Drosophila melanogaster: one gene and its partners. The gene in region 1 interacts genetically with each later gene. Each region holds a gene or a part of one and is shown in the gene's direction. Other genes may lie near its edges. The genes, in order: slo, Ca-alpha1D and Sod2.

Region 1 (4,245 bases):
CAAGAATCTGCTTGGGGCTTGGACGATCACCGAACCACTGGTCGAACCAATGGCCACCCATCATCACGGTAAGCACAGTGTTCTCGCCCATGTCGAAGCAGCAGCTGTCGAAGATGACGCCGAGCAGAGGTAACTTTTCCACTGGCGGCACTAGCAATCCAAAGCCGTCTTGTTTGAGTAGCTTGCCGGGGAACTGCATGTTCACTACCAGCACATCCACGTACGGAATGCTCAAAAGTTGGGCGCTCAGCGAGGGATGCTGCTGCTTTACCAGGGGCGCGAGTTTGTAGGCGGGCAGGGAGCTGACCACATGCTCCACCGGAACTTCGGCATCCTTGATGTTCATTCGAACCCCGGAGCTGCTGAAGGTCAGGTTCCGGCATTCGTTGCTTAGCTGCACGTTCACATCCCGCTCACCTAAGTACTTTCGCATAGTTTTGGGTAGGTTCTCCAGACCGCCTTTCAGCCCGTACATGGCCCACTTCTCCTTTACCGCCTGCGCATACAGCTTGGGCTGTCTTTCGGCAAATAGTCCATCCTTGGTGTCCTTGGTCTTGTTCTTCTCAAAGCGGGAAATGAGTGTGCCCTTGAGCACTCCTCCGTACTTCTGTTCCTTTTCAAAGAGCCCCTCCATCAGGAAGCGCACACTTATTTCTCGCGCGTCACCGGCGCAAATACCGCAGATCATGGGACTGATGGCGTAGTCGGCTATCTCCTTACCAAACCGCCGCTCAGCGAAACTGTAGATGCTCTCATCCTCCAGCTTCGCTTTCTTGCTTGCTGTGAACAGATCGCGAAGAACCGCTTTGTATAGCGGCTTCGTGAAGGGAGGCAGGACGCCGAAGAGACCCTTGGGACTGTTGGGCAGCATGCAGAGCTGTCCCTTGGCATACAGCATTCGGTTGCGTGCTGCGACATGACTGCGTCGAATGGGAGTCACCTCCAGCTTCAGATCCTCCACCAATTCTAGCGTATTGGCACCTGGCTCACCAACTGGGCGTATGGTTCGCGGTCCGCTCTCGAAGATGAAGTTGCGATCCTTGCGATTCTCCGACCGCACCCATCCGCCCACACGGGGCGAGGCCTCGTAGATGGTCAGCGGCTTCCCGAATCGCCGCAACAGGTAGTATCCGGCGGATAGTCCACTCAATCCGCCTCCCAGCACGGCCGTCGTCATGGTCCTTCTGCTGCTTCTCGTTGCTCCCGAATCCCTTAGAGGATTCAGACTAGTTCTGGTTTGCAGACGAAAAAATCTATGCCGGCTTCGATCGTTCAGACCAAAATAAACCCAGGTGACATAACTATCGTTGAAGCTATCGATAAGCTCAAATCCAAAATCGCTGAGCTTGCAATCGATGTTATATGCGATTGAAGAGTTTTGAATTGACAATTCTGCAGAAAATAAAATCAAATAAAGGAAGGGATAAATATTTTATAAAATAAATAGCATTTATTGTTATACTTATTTTGGTAACTACAGCTAACATAATATCTTATAATCGAAACAATGGTTTTAGAATATTTATTGTTAAATTATGTAAAGTTAAATAAAATATAGTGCAATTGATAATACTTAATTTAAGCATTGATACAAGAATACAAATGCATAGTACTTTTATTTGCCATTATTTTATCTCATTTAACATGCATTTGTGCACCCGTCCCAAAAGTATGCAATGAATTTCTTCCGACATTCCTCATACGCCACGTGTGCATCGTGCGGAAGTTCACTTGCACCTGCATCGGCACCATTACCATCATCATCACCATCACCGCGGCACTGGGTCATTCATAGTGAATGGGTTTTGGCGCCAGTTTTGATGAATCGAACGAAGCGTCCAGCCCGCACCAACCGCAGGACTCCGAAAAGCTCCCAAAGACGAGCTTGGGCCGTGCGGAAGTACATTGGGCCACCGATTTCCATGTCGTCGGAGTCGACATCGCGCAGAATTGTATACGCTGCTGACGAGAAAGGTTGGTCCTCGCGTTTGAGCGCGTCGCGTCTTTTATTCTGGGTGTGTGAGTGAGTGGACTGTGTGGAAAAGTGCCTATCGCGTATATGTATATTCACGGGACCCATACACACACACACAGCTGCAGCACTTGGAAATGTGAAAAATTTTCAAGCTGCGTTTGCCAATTACGGGGAAAATTGAGCAAAAAACGTCTTAAAATCCGGGCAATTATCGTGGCCATTTGCGGAACGGCAATTGTGCAAAATTCGGTATCCGTTGAAAACGGGCTCAGTGAACGTGAAAATGTGCCACACACACACTTACAACGCAGGAAATTCAATTAATTAGTGACCGAGTGTGTGTGTGTGTGTTCGCCCATAAAACGGCGATTGTGATTGCGAAAAAAGTGTTGCATACATAAAGGAGCTAAGAAGTGGACCAACGAGCAACACTAAAGGAAAACTCTTTAGAAATACAGTTTTTCGCTTTTTTTTTTGGCACTGCTGCAGGTTTTCATTTAAAAGATACATTTGTTGAAGTCAACACACACGGACACACACACATGCGCATACGGCACAGTTTTTCGTTCGTTTTTAAAACGAGCACACCACAAGTTCCCCAAAACGAAAGGACGAAGGGACCCGACCCGATGATAAAGTCGATGTTCCAGGCCGGAGATACACTTGTATCGTTCCCCTGCCTTTGCCGCTGCTGTCATCGTCAATGTTATTTTTGTTGCTTCCTACTCGTCGTCCTTCGTGTGTCGCAGGATACCTTGGTATATGTGTGTCAGTCAGTCACTGGCCGAGCGTGGGTGTGTGTGTGCGTGCGCCAGGATACGCAGATACCCAGATACCTACAAATGAAGCCACCAAATCCAGGCGAGTTCAATGCGCGGCCAGGACGAAGGACTAAGCTCTGTTTACATTGGCTCACGAATGCCCATTTTCCAAGCCCCCTGTATTTTCCGCCCGTTGGCGTGCCGTGGGAAATTGTGTCGCCTGCTTATTTATTATGAAAATGCAACTTTCATTTGACTCGGCATTTGTCCCGTTTCCATTGTTTGCAGGCACATTAGGCAGCTCGTTAAGCGCATGAAAGTGTGTGTCCTGCGGGTGTGCGAGTGTGTGTGTGTGACACGAAGGGGAACTAAAAACTAGGGCAGTGTGTTTCCGTTTCAACGACATGCCGCAGGCGAAAGAACGAGTCCGTCCGCAGGACAGCAAAGCCTCGCTAATCGGGCAGGAAATGAATAACTTAAAAAGTTACCAATGACAAGTTTGACATTAAATGTATCATATACAAATAACATGCAAACGAAAGTGATAATTGTAAAGCATGTTGTATATTGCCAAAAATTCTAGTTTTTGGTACCACATTGCGTATGCTTAACCAAAATGTGCGACTTTCGCAGGCAAGGAAAAAGCTTTCTGCCCGACAATTTTCGGATTCCCTGCATCGCGCAGCCGCCAATACGCCAGCAGCAATTGTGAGAAATTGAGAGAAATTCTCAGAGAATTCTCCGAGAACTGAGAATTTAAAAACGGCGAGAATAGTGCTGATTTTGCTTTCAAGTCTGCTTCGCATCTTTATTTATTTATTTACTTGACACGCTTGCTTTTCCGGCTACGGAAAATGGTGATACAATGTCTAAAATAATATTAATTTAATAGAATATATATACGAATACAAATATATACGTAATATCATTGACAAATGTCTGCGGTCGTAAAAAAATTAAAAACGCAAATAACGCTGACAGCCTAACTAAAAAATATAATTAATTACCGCGTTCGTCGCGCTGCCTTGGCAAATTAAAAAGTATTTAAATTATCGCTCAACTTAATAAATCTCTTGCAGCTTAACACACAAGGAAAAATTTCGTGGGCAAACAAAGCTAAATAAGTTGTGAAAGGAAACATGAGCAGTGTGACTAAGCGCAGTTTCTAATTTAACCAAATTCCAATTCAAATTCAAAAGAACGAACAACTATTGATCAAGACGGCAAAGAAAGAAGCAAACAAACCAAAACGCACAATGAAACTGATAAGCTTAACGCAGCTGATAACACAATGAAACTCATCCACGGATCCGAAATGCAATTATGAAATAATCAGCAAGCCGCAATCCATCAGCCAGTGAGGAAAATCCAGCCAGCCAGCCCAAGAATTTCCACGTGCAACATTGGCGAGCCGCAGCGACCACAAATCGTCCAAACACATTGATGTGCGATTTGAGCGTGTGAATGTTGGCAGCCCTGGAGCCCTGCCTCGGTGGTTTAGCCAGTACT
Region 2 (4,245 bases), on another chromosome or scaffold:
TATATATAAAAATACACATGATATAAGTGAACAAGTTCTTCAAAATGTTTCCACTTCAACAGGGTCGTAATAGTAGTAACTATTATTTAAGGAGGTTGGCAGATTCGCAGCCCAACGAATGATATGTACTAGCAGTCGAGAAGATATCTCCCAAAAAGTTTAAAAATATTAACGCCACGTATGCTGCCGTTGGATTTTTGGCTCGGATTTTCGTACGCACGACTGCTTCTCAACAAATAAAAATCGCAGCGTGTTTTTATTGTTGCCACGCGAGGGAATCGCCGAGGGATCAGCTTGTAAGTGAAATGTTCAACAAGCAGCCCCAGCAATTAACTAGATCAAGTATATACTATACATAAGTATATATTTATATATATATGAGCATCGATTTAGCAGTCTAAAGATAGCCGATAAAGTGTTCCATGTGGTGTTTTCAGGCTACAGCATTGCATATTTCAATAAGCCATGCAATTTGATTTAAGTAAAGGCAATACAATTAGGCTAAATTTAATTTCGCTGCCTGCGGATCGCTTTTGTTGTTTTTTTTTTTTCTGTTTTAAATTTTGGGGGCTACAATAGAGCCAACAGGAGCACTAACAACACTGCCGCATCGACAGATCCAACTACGTGTGCTTGGTCTAATTTTAGACCGGCGAAATAGTCTGCTGTTCTGGCCCAAAGAAATTGACCGACGAAATGCCGATCGTACACTATACCCTCACGCCCCAACCCCTTCACCCGCTGACGTATTTCTGTTGTTTTAAAAAATATTTTCCCGCACAATTCTCATTGGACACGATGAAAACTAATTTCTCGTTGAGGCGGAATAATTCAATTTTATAGTCAAAAATAATGGATGCCTCTGTTTAGGGAAGGCACACTAAAATCTTCTGACCTTCAATAAAATAATTATTAAGTTTCATGTTTGAAATTAAATTGGGCAGAATTAGTTTAGCGATAATGGTCACTGAAATGAAAGCATCTTAGGAAATCCAGGTCATTTAATTGTTTCGATAAAACGAAAAATAAATAATCACACACAAACTCATAAAAATAGCGGGAAGAGATAAACAAATCAATTAATGGTGATCAGATATTATGGGTGTATGTATATATCTACTTATAAAACGCGTAGAAAGCACAGATAATCACAACAAATTGGTTAGATGACATTTGTTAAATTAAAGAAACAAGTTGCGAACATCTATTTTCATGAAACGGCCTAAGAAGTCAACAAATCAAGAAGTCTCTTTCAGCCGGAAATATATCATTAGCCAAATTGTATATATCGTCGAGGAACACACCCATGGGAAAACCGATTTTATTTTATAACTTATGATATATTGCCAAGCGTCAGAAAAAAATTCTCAGTGACTCAGGCCGGCCCGCTGTGTAAGTGAAGTTCACCCGCGAAAGAAAAAATAATTCAGGGAAAATGGTAATTTTCAATATTTTCTCTCGAAATTTTTTGGTCTCTCGCCAACTGTCAAACATTTTCATCTGCGCATGCGTTCACCAACAACAGCTGATTGACAACAAATGTGAGTGCAAGCGGGATAAAGATACTCAATACCACAAAACTCTCGATCTATTCATAAAAGTTGATTTGCTTATGCTTAAAATATCTATAGAAAGAGAACAAAGAGAGAAAAAAAAAATAACAAAAATAGGCTAGCATAAATGTTTGCATCCCGCTTTCATTTATCGGCATTTACGTTCCGATTTCGGTTTGTTTGTAAACACAACTTTAGTGTTGAACAATACCTCTGGGATTTCCCATTTTCAAGCGATTGAATAAATACTTATATGAAACTCATATCCTGTATATTCCGAATAAACATCTCAAATAGTTAAAATGGTATCGTTATTCAAACCTCGTGCACAATTTTATGGGTTGCAAAGAAATTTTTTTGAAAATAAATGATTGATTTTATTATTTTCTTATTTTGTATAAAACCAGGTTATGTAAATATCTATAAATTTTATTTGAATATAGTTTCTCCATGAAAATGAGTTTTTGAATTCCAACGTCCTAGGAACATTTGGAATACCTAATTACACCAAACAGGCTTTTCCCAATTTTAGAACCCTTCCATCAGCAGATAAGCAAGCTCCAGATCCTAAGCTTTTCTTGGGCTAACATCAACATTTTCACGGCTGCCTCTGCGAAAAGCTGACTTTTCCTGCACAGTGTGCTTTTGTGGCTGATTCCTTAAACTTGTTCGCGTTGCTGATGGTCGCGTGTGAAAAATACAATAAAATACAACACTGAAAAGCCAGGAAAATCAAACGAACCAAGGCAATAATATCGAAATTGTAATGTGCAATGTTGATTGTCGAATAGGGGAAACTAACGACAGGTTATAGGGACACCGTGGAAAGCTGCTTTCACTTTCTTCGCAGTGAGCCATTAGAAATTTTTCACACTTTCCCATGTGTTGGTGCCGTGGTGAGCTGGTGTGTGTGCGTGTGAAGGCTATTACATATGCGGGGGTAGGTCAATCGGTCAGCTTTAACCTCTCGGAACGCAGCTAAAAACCATAGGAAGACCTGAAATACTTAATGTAATTAATATGCCAGCAAGGCAAAATAGTATCCGTACATCATTTCCCAGGCGGGCCATCAAAAGACCATGAGCAAATTAGTTTTTACTGCCAAATGCGCGCTCTTGACCCCATTTCCGTTTACAGAGTTGTTTGATATTTACCCAAATGCACAGACAAGCTGACATTCAACCGCACTAATGTGTGATTGCGATTAGCTTGTTTTTGGGAAATACTCGTACTAATAACAAAATACAAGCGCAAAAGCAATAATAATACTTTTTTTTGGTAATTTAATAAAACATGTATTTTCCTTGCTGCAAAGGCCAAAAGCTCGGCTGCAAAACGAGCTTGCCAGTTGGAGAGAAAACGGGAGAAAGTCGCTTTCTCTCAGTCAAAGTTGATTGCCCATTTGACAGTTGGGTCACAAAAAAGTCGTTGCGACAACAAAGGAAAATGTAAACATTGCGCGTGTTTTTGTTTTGATGCTCTCTCCCTCTCACATGCCACGGAAAAGTGGGTTATATATAGGTAATGCCAGGAAATGCCGATAAGTTATCATGATGGCGATGAAAATTCGTTGTCGGTGCACTCAAATGGAATTGAGTAAAATTCAATAAAGTGCTTTGTGGTCGGGGATTACCGAAAATATGTTCTAAAAACTAATTTGGGGGATGGTTAGAGAAATTTCTAGATACTTTGAATGCGATGGGTTTTCCAACTGCGAAAAAAAGTGTTCGATGTAATAAAATAATTAATGTTTTGGTGTAATTGAAAACTGTCCTCAGTGTCCTGTTGTAAAACCACATTATGCTTCAGATCTTCAATCCTCAAAACGACTCTCCACTGCAGACTAACAAACAAATGCCAAATTTTTACAATCCGCCGCTCTAAACTCGTCCAAACTAAAAACCAAAAAAACCAAACTAAAAAATACAAAAAAAAATCTAAGTCACCACCGTCGAATTTCTACAACTATTAAACCATTTTCTAAATACAAAACAAAAAGCTTTTCGCTTATTTAAGTGAGTCTGATTAAAATGTGCATGTCTGTGTGGCGACTGAGACCAAACACACCTGTTGCTGCGATGCTTTGACCGCGTTTCGCTTTTTGGCTTTTGGCAAGGAAAACGCTCAACGAATAAGGCATTTTAAAGGAAAGGCAATAAATATTGTGCGTCCGAATGAAACTTCAAATATGAATACAGGTACAAGGACTTTTTCTAATAATACCTTGAAATAAAATTGTGATATATTTGGGATAATCCATTTCGTTATAATACTGATAAGAGCTTTATGTTGCAAATTTGATTTTAATTAGAACAGTGGACTCTTTAAGCGGAGCTACTAGCCTCATGATACATTGAAACTTTATTTTAAAGAAAATAGTACTTTAAAAAGGGCATTTTATTAGTTAATAACAGCGTATGAAAGTTTTATTATGCCACTCACAAGTTACGAAAATATCTCCCCAATATCTCACAGTTTGATTACTAACTTTAATAACCTATTTCCGACCCCTGTTGTGCCACCCATTACCCCCACCGCTAATCCCGCAAGGAGATCGTAAGGAGCAAGCCTCGTTAACACCGCAACAGCAACAATCGCCGCAGCAGCCAGAGCAACAGCAACCAATTACCCGACACGATGCCTTGGATAGTTCTAGTGCTAACAATAAACTAAATCATAAACACAATAACGA
Region 3 (4,183 bases), on another chromosome or scaffold:
TGGAGCTTGACAATTATGATTACGAAGGCGAATGCTTTGAGAGTTGAAACTTGGATTTTGTTGTCGCCCGGTGCACGTGCAACTGAATTGAAGTTAAGGTTACTGCGTTATTGTGATTCCCACCGAGATGTTACAATCGAACACATTTGTATTTTCATTTAGCCTAAAACATTCGAAATTAATCAGAATAAGAGTTTAGAAGTTATTTGTTTGGTTCAATGATTGCTATTTTATCTTGTTGCTAATTTACCACCAGGTTCGTTTGACTGGGAGTTTTTTTTTAAGGATTTTTGTTTTTAGCTGGGGGATGTTGTATCTGCGGGTTAATTTAACTTGGGGTTATTTGATCTAGGGATTAATTTACCTAAGAATTTTTTATATGGGAGTTAGTTTACCTGGGGGCTAGTTAATCTGGCGGTTAGTTTAGATAGTGTTGCATTTGTGCTGTTAGAAGGGCGTTACATGGGCCTTGTGCTTCCCAAATGCAACTAATTTTTGTGTAGGTAACCCCCAGTTTTGTTTATTTTATATCGACTAGATTTGTTTAAGAAATTACATTCATTAGCAAATAGAAAATATATAATAATCATTGCTCATAACGAATATTTGAACACCCTCCTTAACTAAAAACACTTTCGATGGACTATGGCGGAACCAACTTCTTCGTACTCCAAGCTGTCGATCCACATGTTTTGGAAGCTCGTGAGTGAGGCCAAGACGGAACCACCCGTCCAAACGGAGAATCTGCGGTCTGGACTAGCGTTAACCTTGATTCGGATGGATGGTGGAGCCATTTCGGTTAGGTCTTGCAGGAATCTATGCTCGATGTTACGAAACATGGTCGTACCGCCAGAGAGAACAATGTTCGCATACATATCCTTTCGCAGATCCATGTCGCAGTTGGTTATCGAGTGATGGGTGGCCTCGTGGATGCCCATCACCTCCTGACCCAGCAAACTGGGTTGGAAGAGAGCCTCCGGGCAGCGGAATCTCTCGCAGCCCAAAACGATTTTCTGCCCATCTGGCAGCTCATAGGTTTCCACCTTTCCGTGGAGATCCATTTCCTTGGCATAGTTCATTGACACATAGCAGAGTTTCTCCTTGATTTCACGCACGATTTCCCGTTCAGCAGAGGTGCCCATTGTAACGCCCCTCTCCAGAAGCAGCTTGCATAGATAATCGGTGAGGTCCCTGCCGGCCAGATCAACTCGTACACAGGCGTGGGGCAGGGCAAATCCTTCGTAGATCGGTACCGTGTGCGTCACACCATCACCCGAGTCCACCACAATGCCCACAGTACGCCCGGTGGCGTAAAGTGAGAGCACAGCCTGAACTGCTACATAAAAAGCTGGCACCTGAAAGTGTTCGAACATAATCTCTGTCATCTTCTCTCTATTCTTCTTCGGATTCAGTGGGGCTTCGGTGAGTAGAGCCGGCAAATCCATTGGATCCGCCCGCAAGAGCTCGTACGTGTGCTGCCAAACCATCTCCATTTCATCCCAGTTCTTGACCATTCCGTGCTCGATGGGATACTTTAGGGTTAGTATTCCCCTTTTTCGGGCTGCCGCCTCGCCAATAACACTATCACCGATCACGGAATCCAGCAGGACGTTCAGGTGACGAGGTCTGCCCACAATCGACGGGAAGACAGCACGGGGAGTATCTTCTGGGGAGAATCCAGCCTTACATACTCCAGAGCCGTTGTCAATAACCACTGCGGCGTGGTGTGAATTACTATCTACCTCGCTGCTCATGTTTCCAGGAGAGGTTGCTGAACGAATCATGGTCAAATCATAAAATCTTTAGCTTATTTAAGCAACTTACGTAAATGTAGATATTTGTGAAGAATGTTCTGTGCCCGTTTATTTGTTATATCGATTTTGATTCGGGAAGGTATTTGAAATGTAGACATGTTGTGTGCTGTGTTCCAGTCGGATTTTTAAACTTATGACGTTAATTTCATGGTTTATTTCCAATTTAGCGCCATGACATACAGAGGCCAAAAATCGATTAATTCAAGTATCAATCGAATGGATGCAGTCGATACGTAAGCAGCTAAAATATGCTAATAGTCACTAAAGTAGTATTTAAACATAAGAAATATTTAAGAAATCCTCAATATGATTTGAATATGTTTCAGTGCAATGTTTCAATTAAAAATAGTTTTTAATTTCTTTTAGTTTTACTATTTAACTTCAATATATATAAGTTGATCTCACATCACTGACTGATTGGGGTCTTTCGATATTTTCTCATCTGCTCATCTCTAGCAGTAAATTGTTCAAATAGAACAAGCGAAATAACGAGAACGTAAGCCTTGTTTTATTTGATATAAAATCTGATATCGGGACTTAGCCTTATTAGCAGTCGAATAAAACGCAGATATGTTCGTGGCCCGTAAAATTTCGCAAACTGCAAGGTAAGTTGCGAAAAAAAGTATGCCCAAATCGATGCCGGCTGATTACATAAATAGCAACAAATGGCGACCCTGATCTTGAGGACATTATAAAACAAGACACACTTAACCCTTTGCAGCCTGGCGGTGCGTGGCAAGCACACCCTACCGAAGCTGCCCTACGACTATGCCGCCCTGGAGCCTATCATCTGCCGGGAGATCATGGAGCTGCATCACCAGAAGCACCACCAGACCTACGTCAACAATCTAAATGCCGCCGAGGAGCAGCTGGAGGAGGCCAAGTCGAAGAGCGACACCACCAAGCTGATTCAGCTGGCTCCTGCCCTGCGTTTCAATGGCGGTGGCCACATCAACCACACCATCTTCTGGCAGAACCTCTCGCCCAACAAGACCCAGCCCAGCGATGATCTGAAGAAGGCCATCGAGTCGCAGTGGAAGAGCCTCGAGGAGTTCAAAAAGGAGCTGACCACGCTGACCGTGGCGGTCCAGGGCTCCGGCTGGGGCTGGCTGGGCTTCAACAAGAAGTCGGGCAAACTGCAACTGGCCGCCCTGCCCAACCAGGATCCCCTGGAGGCCTCCACCGGCCTGATCCCGCTCTTCGGCATCGATGTCTGGGAGCACGCCTACTATCTGCAGTACAAGAACGTGCGTCCCTCCTACGTGGAGGCCATCTGGGACATCGCCAACTGGGATGACATCTCGTGCCGCTTCCAGGAGGCCAAGAAGCTCGGTTGCTAAGCACAGCCGGCGATTGCGTATGTTTAATCTATAAGCATCTGCGGATCGGAGATCCTAAATTGTAGTCTAAGTTGCGGCTAATAAATTGGTACCAGCTAGCAACTAATTTTTATAATTTTTATGAATGGGAATAAAACAATTTAAAACATAATTTCCGAAGATAACGCTTCACAAAGGCGTATTGAAACTATTACTTCATTGAGGAATTAAAAAATATACATATACCTATTCATATTTTTTATTTTTATCAATTTTATTACGCTCCAAAAAAATTAATTTTTATATTAAATTAAAATATCGCAAATACTGTAAATGTTTTACAACACTGCCGCCCATGGTGCCATCTCTAGCAAATCAGCTGTGCGCGAGCCAAACAAAAACAAAACAAAAGTCAGCCTGCCGCGAAATCGGGGGAGGAAAATTGACATTTCCACCGAGTTTTCCCGAACTTGCGTGCGCGCAGCTGCAAACAATTTTCCAGCACGCGTATCCGAATGGTGGAACAAATGGCCAGCCGCTGGCAGAGTCGTTTGTTGCCTGTTCGCGTAATGGCCATCCTCGAAAATCGCCCGGAGTTTTGAAATCGAGAGACCAGTACGAAACAAAGGAAAATCATTTAATTTCCTGAGGGCGGTGACGAATGAAAAACATACAAAATAAACCACTTGAGTGCAATAATAATTTAATAAAGAACTGTGATTGTGAGTGTGTGAGGAGAACTGTTGACGCCCATCAAGGAATTTAACTTCTAAACTTCTAAACGTAAGTAAGTTACCAAAGAAAACACAAAACTTGATAAGAAAATATGAGATTGGGTTTCAATTAAAGGTGTTTTCGATTAGTTTTTTGAAAAACTCCACTTGACGGTATTCGGGAAAATGTGTGAAAAATCAATATTCCACAGCCAGTTGCCCCAGAAGTGCGCACGCATCTCCCTTCGGGAACTTTTCCAACTTTCGTCCTGTTGCGGATCCTGCTTGAGGTCCTTCAGCAGCTGTCCGCCCCCAGTGGATTCTATAAATAAAACCT

Evidence for each region.
Region 2: of slo (region 1) and Ca-alpha1D, changing one suppresses a phenotype caused by changing the other (phenotypic suppression), as found in Drosophila melanogaster (one study listed by BioGRID).
Region 3: of slo (region 1) and Sod2, changing one suppresses a phenotype caused by changing the other (phenotypic suppression), as found in Drosophila melanogaster (one study listed by BioGRID).

Annotation. Positions count from the first base shown.
Region 1 is NT_033777.3:24,660,549-24,664,793, forward strand, and holds the start of slo (slowpoke), read left to right. Parts: upstream 1-1,942; 5' UTR 1,943-2,015; intron 2,016-3,815; 5' UTR 3,816-4,245. Other genes in the region: Ppox (protoporphyrinogen oxidase), read right to left, coding at 1-1,177. UniProt on the Drosophila melanogaster protein: Potassium channel activated by both membrane depolarization or increase in cytosolic Ca(2+) that mediates export of K(+). Its activation dampens the excitatory events that elevate the cytosolic Ca(2+) concentration and/or depolarize the cell membrane.
Region 2 is NT_033779.5:16,166,156-16,170,400, forward strand, and holds the start of Ca-alpha1D (Ca[2+]-channel protein alpha[[1]] subunit D), read left to right. Parts: upstream 1-2,190; 5' UTR 2,191-2,316; exon of another isoform or gene 2,317-2,402; intron 2,403-3,331; 5' UTR 3,332-3,741; coding exon 3,742-3,751; intron 3,752-4,103; coding exon 4,104-4,245.
Region 3 is NT_033778.4:16,771,991-16,776,173, reverse strand, and holds Sod2 (superoxide dismutase 2 (Mn)), read left to right. Parts: upstream 1-2,258; 5' UTR 2,259-2,384; coding exon 2,385-2,419; intron 2,420-2,535; coding exon 2,536-3,154; 3' UTR 3,155-3,389; downstream 3,390-4,183. Other genes in the region: Arp53D (Actin-related protein 53D), read right to left, coding at 624-1,771, 1,825-1,912. UniProt on the Drosophila melanogaster protein: Destroys superoxide anion radicals which are normally produced within the cells and which are toxic to biological systems.